Bombyx mori: one gene and its partner. The protein of the gene in region 2 interacts with the protein of the main gene of each other region in a pairwise test. Links are inferred from orthologs where the notes say so. Each region holds a gene or a part of one and is shown on either strand. Other genes may lie near its edges.

The links.
Region 1: the proteins of deformed epidermal autoregulatory factor 1 (region 2) and zinc finger protein 665 interact in a two-hybrid assay, tested with the Drosophila melanogaster proteins (2 studies listed by BioGRID). The link is inferred for Bombyx mori from reciprocal best matches to the Drosophila melanogaster genes Deaf1 and Clamp.

The regions. Positions count from the first base shown.
Region 1 is NC_085121.1:5,965,408-5,969,987, forward strand, and holds the start of zinc finger protein 665, read right to left. Parts: upstream 3,142-4,580; 5' UTR 2,809-3,141; intron 2,759-2,808; exon of another isoform or gene 2,582-2,758; intron 2,470-2,581; 5' UTR 2,431-2,469; coding exon 2,299-2,430; intron 2,208-2,298; coding exon 1,910-2,207; intron 1,735-1,909; coding exon 1,612-1,734; intron 1,047-1,611; coding exon 903-1,046; intron 1-902. UniProt on the Drosophila melanogaster protein: Transcription factor involved in X-chromosome dosage compensation in males, the process by which transcription of the single X chromosome in the male is elevated. Binds to the DNA sequence (GA)n.
Region 2 is NC_085107.1:2,583,274-2,587,545, forward strand, and holds the start of deformed epidermal autoregulatory factor 1, read right to left. Parts: upstream 2,801-4,272; 5' UTR 2,178-2,800; coding exon 1,466-2,177; intron 1,341-1,465; coding exon 1,101-1,340; intron 1-1,100. Other genes in the region: uncharacterized protein LOC105841890, read left to right, coding at 3,923-4,000. UniProt on the Drosophila melanogaster protein: Transcription factor that binds the homeotic Deformed (Dfd) response element. High affinity binding sites contain at least 1 TTCG motif surrounded by additional TCG sequences.

The DNA of each region.
Region 1 (4,580 bases), on a different chromosome or scaffold from region 2:
AACCGAGCAGGCTTACAAGACACCCTAGCAAATTATATTTTTTTTCAGTTTTGATTTTTATTACACAACTAGGTGACCCGGCGAACTTTGTTCCGCCTTAGAGGCAATAAATGAGCATACTTTTAATTTTATCAAGGTCAATTTTATATTTGGATAATTAATGTAAATTAAAAAAAGCAAGTATTTTAATGATACTTTATTGGCCATGTATTTTAGTTGTTATTATTATATTTTCTTGTTCTTCTTCAGTCCTTTCACTCGCAATGTTTCGAACCCTAGTTGCATTACGGCTTCGTCGGGAAAAATTCGATCATGTTGATCGCGGCATGGTTTTCTGGTAATGATTACCTATCTCGGCACAATAAGCTAATAGAAACTCGAAACAAACACATCAACCGGTCTACTTCAAAATTCTACTTTAATTAACCTTAGACTACGTTACGTTTAGCTGTCATTTGCATTTTGTTAATCCATATCAGTTGTGTTTTGTTATACCACGTTGTATGCCACGTCCCACGGGAACGTGATGAAAAGTATCCTATGTCCTTCTCCTGGTTCTAAGCTACCTCCCCACCAATTTTCAGCCAAATCAGTTCAGCCGTTCTTAAGTTATAAATAGTGTAACTAACACGACTTTCTTTTATATATATAGATAATTACTTCATTCAGTTAAGTACAAATTTCATAAGACAAATTGGTACCTGCTTATGGGAGTCACACAAAGGCACAATCACACCAATATAACAGCACAAGTTAGGTTAACCCTTGAGGCCATAATAAATTAAATTAAATTCATTGACTACTGAGTTTCTAATGAGCACCCCTTTACAAGTAGTTTGTAGTATAATTTGTCTATTTTTTTTATGTAATTACCCATTAGAACTTTACAGAGTTGTACTCACTTTGATTTGGTCTATGTTGATCAACAGAGTCTTGTGCTATACAGGTTTCACATCTTATTAACTTGGGCCCCTTTCTTTTTGGATTGTTCTGTATTGTTCCACCACATGATATGCATTTCTGAATTTTGTCTAGTAAAGGCTTGGCTACAATAAATACAAGATTCTTATTAGTCTTAGAAGGAAAGAGATTCTTAAGTAACTAAGTTAACTAAATACTTTAGAGATTACTTTATAATTATATTTTCTACAATGCTTTAAGCTCAGTATAAGTAAAAATAATTACAAACAGTAGACTATCTAAAACATTCATTATCACTGACATTAATGGGTCCTTGATATTTAACGTACACTATATGTATAACTTTCTGGTGCTGGAATTCTTTGGACATATTGCTCGTAAAGAGGGTCACAATCTAGAACAGCTGATGGTGACAGGAAAGGTAGATGGCAAACGTCCCAGAGGACGCAGTCCCACGAGATGGTCGGACCAAATACGATCTTCTCTAAGCATCAACTTCCACAATGCTCTTATGAAGCTAAGGATCGCAGCAGATGGAGGGAAATCGTACGGGAGAAACTGATGCAGCGGGGGAGTCACAACTCTCAGTAATGAGGAAAACGACGCAAGGAGGAGTATAACTTATAATATACACCAAACAATAAAAAGAGAATTTGAAAATTGAAAAATATAGAGCAAAACTTGACTTACTGTCTTGTATTTGTACATGGTGTTGTTGATTTTGTTGTTCATTTGGGTCTGATGACAATATTTGTATATGTGAAGGCATTGTAACATCATTTCCAGCTGTTGCTACCACTGTAATATTGTTATCTGTAAAAATTATTGTAATGTTATTAATTCTGCTTGCCAACACAAAACCATATCATATTATATTGCACTTGACAATTGAAAATATGAACAACACCGCATATCATCTTTGTACTAATCTACCCTCTTAATTTATGTTTGCAGTGTTTTCAAACTTCAGTACAGCTTGTAGCTTTACCTGTATCTTGAGTATGAATCCTTTTATGAGCTGTCAGTAAAGTTAGATGACCAAACATAAGTCCACAAACATCACATTTGAAACTAATGTTTGATATTGTATTTTGTATTCCATTAGGAGCTATTTGCATTTGATTAACAAGTGCATAATTATATGAGAACGGTTGTGCTATATAGCATGTCTTGTCATCGCTTGTAGTCAGTTGCGTTATGTTCACACCCCCTGTTTGACTAGTGTTCGCAGTTCCAATTTTACCAATCATATTCACATTTGTTGTATAACAAAATGTTGGAAATTCCTGAAAAAGATTTATGTCCTCAATTATTATAATATTTTAATAATTTTAAATACCTACTGTATTATTTTACTAATTCAACACAATATATGACCTGTTGTGCCTGTGATTGATGAGCATTCTTTTGTTGTACGTTTTCTATGTTCTTCCCTTGTGACTTCTGAGGATGTTCTTGGTACTGTAGAGTGGGCACTGTGCCCGCTTGAACGTTGTTAGTTGTAAACATTTTTAAAATGATATTCTTTTATCTCATTATTTTTCTCGGCTTATGAAACAAAATAGTCAAAGATATTTAATAAGAATACATTTCGATAATAAAAATTATGATCATTCAATGTATTGAAACTAAAGGTGAAAGTTATAAAATACATATTTACTAAATTTCTGTTCTTTTGGAAGTTGAATATGCCACTTGCCAGGAAAACAGTAAACACAGTCTACTCTCTAGTCACTAGTGAAGAGTAGAGATGTGTGAGAAAAGGATGAGGGAACCATCTAAAAAGTTTTAGTAAGGGACGCCATTGAAGTCACTCAAACCGAACAGACGCCTCGATGAATTGTTTAATATGAACGGCATCTCTCTATAGGTATTTTAAAATCTTACCTCTTATATAATATCACAGTTAAAGTTAAATTTTATATTGTAAGGATTTACAGAGAGAAACACAATAGGATATTTTATTTCTATCTCACTTTCCTGTCTAATTCTCCATCTCACACAAGAAACGAAATGGCGATAATTTAAAATGGCGGGACAGCCCCCATTGTGTTACAAACATTAAAAAATAATAAGAATGGGAAAATGAAACATAACTCTTTTTAAAAAGCTATCGAATTTTTTATTGCGTTGGTGGGTGAATGAGTTCACAGCTCATCTGATGTAATATGGTTACTAGAACCCATAGACATGAATGTCACCCCATCACCTTGAAACATGAAGTCAAAGTCTCAATTACATTATTAATGGCTATTGCCATCCTTCAAATCAACAAATTGTGAAAGCAATTACCCAAATTTAGAAACAGATGTGGATTTGGTATAAAGCGATGTATTACTATATCACGGCAGTCACCCTTGAACATTTATTATGTAATATGTACGTTTTGTTTAAATTCGCAACTTCCTTTATATATAGAAAACGCAAACACCGGCAAGGATGCATTGTGTTGCGCACCAGACCTGCTTACATAGATAGTAAAGGACAGCTTCTTTCTTTTTCTGCGTTCTAGTTGCACATATTAATATACATGTACACAAATACAGTTTCTCGTGGTAATTTACAGTAGATGCTTGTGTCTGTTGAATCATGATATTTGAGTTCTTTGTATGTATCTTCTCATTGTTACGATTCCCCTTTTGCCAGTATATTCTCATGGAATAATTTCGGAAAACAACTGTAAAACTAACTATATCATCAAACTATCGATTAATATTAAGGACGTTACTTTAAAATATTTTGGTAGTAAAAACAGACTTTATGTCGGTTCCCATTGTAATAATGACTAACGATTTGTTGATAATTAATATTAAGTATACAACTGAACTAATATAGAGTCAGCAAGCTGAAGTGGCAGTGGGCTGGCCATATATGCCGTAGGACTGACGATCGCTGGAGCAGACGGGTTCTCGAGTGGAGACCGCGCAGCGGACGACGTAACGTGGGACGCCCCCTGGCTAGATGGTGCGATGACCGGTGGCCGGCAAGAAGTGGATGAGGAGAGCATAGACGTATATAGTAGGGACACCACATACCGTAAAATGGGGCGATTAGGGACAAATTCCAACTTTGTGAGCAATTTTAAGGTAGTTGTTGATGTATATAATGCTATATCAGGATCAAAATGATTGAGTCTTGGGGGCATCTTTGTTGTCTAATTTAAAATTATGCAACTAGCATTCCAGTTTAAGCAAAAAATGCAAAAATAGGTGTAATCCCTATTTACCCGAAAATTGCGGTTAATTGGGACGAAATGAGAAATTTGCTAGGGTTGGCACTACTTTTATTTTTATATATAGTTTTAATTTATTTATTTACTTAGTTGCACCAACAAAGTGATCATCAATAAAAAAAAATGAAAAACTGACAAAAATACATGGCAGACATCACCTCAATTATAGGTGCAATCGACAGTGCTGATATTTCTATCTGGGTTAAGAGATTAGGTGTGTCGGTTATTCCATGGATTAATCAGATGAATACCCCCACTCTGAACAAATTTGAAATATTTATTATTCAAATATTAAATATATTACTTAGACATTTTTGTCCACCTTGAGATTTCATTGATCTTGCTACATGTCTCTGCAAAATCGACTTACTTATATTAAATTGCTTATCTATTTCAACTAAAGACTTATTCTCAATTTCGCTTCGAA
Region 2 (4,272 bases):
CTCATCATATTTACAGGAATGACATCTCTATTGCAACAATTTTTTATTAATTTACCTAAGTCAATAGACACTGACCCTAATATAAATAAAACTCAAATTACCTGCCAGCATAACAGTAGTTAAGTTAAATAACAGTAGGATAATAACAACAAAAGAAATCACTGGCCACTTGACCGATAATGAACTATTATTACAAAGAAGTCCTCTTGGCAGATGGAGGAGAAAATATTTAAAAGTTAGGCATGAGCAATAAGAGGATGATATAATGGCATTACGCTTGGCACACACATGCTGAATGTTGAGATGGTGCAGCAGTAGTGTATAACTAGGTTATACAGAGCTTTTAAGATGATCTAAGTGGTATGATCATCTACTAAATGCCATAGTTGATAAACAAAATTCTTGTTAAAATTGTTTTTAAAATTCGCTTAAGTATATGGTTGCCATTGCCATTTCTTTGCATTGCAAACAGAATTTTAATTAATGATAGCTTAGCTTGTATTTTTGATAGCCTACAGAAAACAATGTAAATTCTTGAACTTTACGCAAGCTGTTTATTCAAAAAATCTACATTAAATTGTCAATCAATTTAAACAACATAGAGACACCTAACTCTAGACTTCTGAGAAAAAATACGTAAATATCAATTTTTTGCATTAATGTTTAAATTGACTATTATTATCATTTAAATGAGGCATAAATTGTCTTAGTAACATCAAAACCAGTACATACATAATGCATGCTCCATTTGAGCATCCAATTGTAAATTTGTCATCCAATTTGTAAATTGTTAATTTCATTTAAAATTTTATTTTATACAGTCACTAATCAGTAAAATATTTAATGTTATAATAATAATTTCCATTCGCAAGTGGTCGCAATTTGCAACATTTAGCAAAGTTATTGCAAAATATTTGTCACAGTAAAGAGATCTAAATTAATGTCACCCATGCCGCTAAGATCTAATATGTGCTCTAATACAAAAGAATGAAAAATATCCTAGTTAGCTTTTTTGTTTTCTAATCTTATTTTGAATGCTGTAATAGCCAGCAAAGGCTAGTAATTCAACATATAAATATTTATGATATAAAAATATTTACTTGGAGGGGGGTCAGTCTTGATTTCAGGGTTCCCCAGTATCTGGTAATCGGTAGTAGTTTCCAAACCCTCAGCGATGCTCTGCCAAGCTTCTTTTGAGTGACTATTCTCACTGCTCTGGTGTATGTTATCCACTTCACTCTCTCCAATGCTGCTTTCTCTTTTAATTTTTGGTTTCTTCTCACTTCTTTCTTCCTTTCGCTTTCTTTTATATGGAGTGAATAGTCTCACTGGTCCCATGGCTGTAGATTTCATTATTACAGGTTTATAATCACAATAATACTAATAAAACTACTGCTTAAAAATTCACAGCAATTTAGCATTCAAAATATATTCAATTGTAGCATACTTAACATGCATTACTTACCAGATTTATCATCACAGCAAGCTCCGCAAGTGCAGCTTGTAGCATGTGGAGTCAAAATACCCTCATCAATGAGAGCTTGAATACTTCTTCCACCAAACCTTATAGACCTCTTCCAATCTTTGCTAGAGGCTCTGCCACATAGAGCTTCGAACTCACTAGGAGTGTACCACTCTATGCCGTATTTGATACACCTGCCTCTGCCCCCTGAACCGAATTTATTTTTGTGGAGCTCTGCTGATGTATTTTTACAGCGTACCGGCAGCACTGGCATGTTCGCAGTCTCCGTCCATGATCGTGCACTCATCGATCGCGGCGCAGGCGCAGCTACCACCACATCCTCGCAATTAGTTCGAGTAGGAGAAGGAGGGTTCTGGATGACGATGTGTGTTGCTTTTAACTCATCGCTCACTGGCCCACCCGAAATAAAACCATTGTCAACGCAGATCATTGGCTTGAAATGCGGCAAATGGTCTGACGTGATTACGTTGAAGGTGGTACCCGCGATGAGCGTCCCAACTGGCAACGAGACTGGTACAGTCACAACTCCGTTAGAATCATTGGACAGCCGGGTGTTTTTGATGGTGGTAGACAACACAGACGTGCCCTCCACCCGCTCGTTGTCGTGCTCGGTCGCCGTCGACAATGGATCGGCTTCGGATACTTCGGTAATGTCCGGCATGACGACGTTGTCCGAACTTCTATTCTCGGCCATATCTTGTATCCGCCCACCCCGGCACTACACCTTCACGGTGTTGGACTGTTTCCGACAATTACATTAACGTTTATTTACTTTAATTCGTTCCTACTAAATAAAAGATATGCTATCGTTCAATCATCGTCCGCCATAATTAAATCGAAATAGAAACATTTCATTTCACGTAACTTCTCGTAACTAAGTAAAAGCGGCAAATTTAAAATTTATCAAATATCATCCGAAATGCTAATAATCTCATAATATTACATACTAATTAAATTATCTATTTTCTTTTAAACTTAATGTGAAATATTATCATTGTGAAGGTTACATGATGCATATAGTCTTCCTCTGTAGTGGTTCAAAGGAGCAATAAACAATAATAAGTATTAGATTAAATAATTTGATGTAAATAAGTATCATATTTGTAATTTCCAGTAAAAAAACTCGTAAACAGACATTGAAAATTCAATATGTACGATAGAACACATTTATATTATCAACAAAGTAGAAATTTGCATTAGTGTATTTTCGTATTCTAAAATTGAAACTGTGTACATACTTCACTTGAATTTATCTTATTGCGTAAATAGCATTTTAGTTGATGTTCCTATTTGATAATAAATCAATCCTGCCTTAAATTTATAAATATAACTTTTCATAACGTAGATAGGTATATACAGAAAAAAACTATATTTAAATTAAGAGACATAAAGCCAGTCATACACCAACAGGTTACTTGACAATATTTCAATATGCACAATACCTATTAATAGTTTTTGAGACATATGTTGCTTAATTATAAAGGTATCAATATTGATACCTTATCATATGATACGATGATCGTTGGTGATGATGATTGAAGCACATTCTTGGTATGGTAAGAGTAATATTGAGTGTTTTTTGTTTACGTATTTAGAAATAAAATTACAATAAAGAGTACGTGATAATATAAGTCACGTGGTCGTGAATGAGAGGGCGTATAGCACCTTTGATTGCCGTTATGGCTTGAACCACGGTTAAAGAAGAAGATTTTAGAAAAGGGCTAAGGAAATACCACAAACGCAAATTAAAGCTCAGGCTTTTTCAAAACTAAATAATGGTTGAAGGGAAAAGGAAAAACTGATTTGCAGATATAATCACGTACACATACGTGATCTGTAGATTTCTTGGTTAAAGGCAGTGGCTTGGTTTCGGGGAATAGGAATGCATTCCACTCTATCAGTTTATATGATAGTACATTGGAAAAGAAGCGATTACCTGGTGTCACGCTGAAAATGATAATTTAATATTACATTCAAGCAACTATGTTGAACAGTGTCATATTAAAATACTTCTAGGAAAGGTCAAACTTGCACTTGTACTTGTACTTGTTGTACCTAATGCTTTAAGCATTTTTTAATAATCTATGGCAGGTCGGTATTGATTTCTTGCTAGTATTATTAAGCGACTAAATGAAATAGTACCACGAATGAAACGATAACATAGTAAATATTATGAATTTGTACTACGTCCGTGTGGTGTGTATTTATATTCTTCGGGTTTCTTGTTTCATCAAAACAACGAAAACAAACCTACAGATTTCCAAATGGATCATAAAAAATAAATAATTCACGGGTTGTTTTTAATAAACATATATGCTGATTGTCGTGTTATAATACCATGTATCTTCCATACGTTGCCAATTATTAAGATAGCAAGATTTTCCTCAGCAATTTCTGTGATACTCATGTCATATCTGTGAGTCTTGTATAGGTCAAATTATGGAGGAGAACAAATCTAAACACAAGACTCTGCAGAATGCTGCTCATCATATCGCGTTAGACTGCATACAACCACAGGTGAATATGTTTTAATAGACTAATAAATACATTAAATGTAAAGCATTTACTAACTTGTTAATTACTAATTGTTCTAAAGTTAGCTTAAGTTCTCACATATTTTCTATACCTATTCGCTGGTAGCCTAGGAGGCTAGACCAGCTACGCGCGGACGGGTAGGTGAGCACATGGGCTCAGAGAGAGAGAGTTTGTTAATACTAGCCCTGGAAAGAGCAGTGCTTCGCAGAATCTGCTACTGGATTGGAATCACGACCCACTGAGGAGGTCCGGCA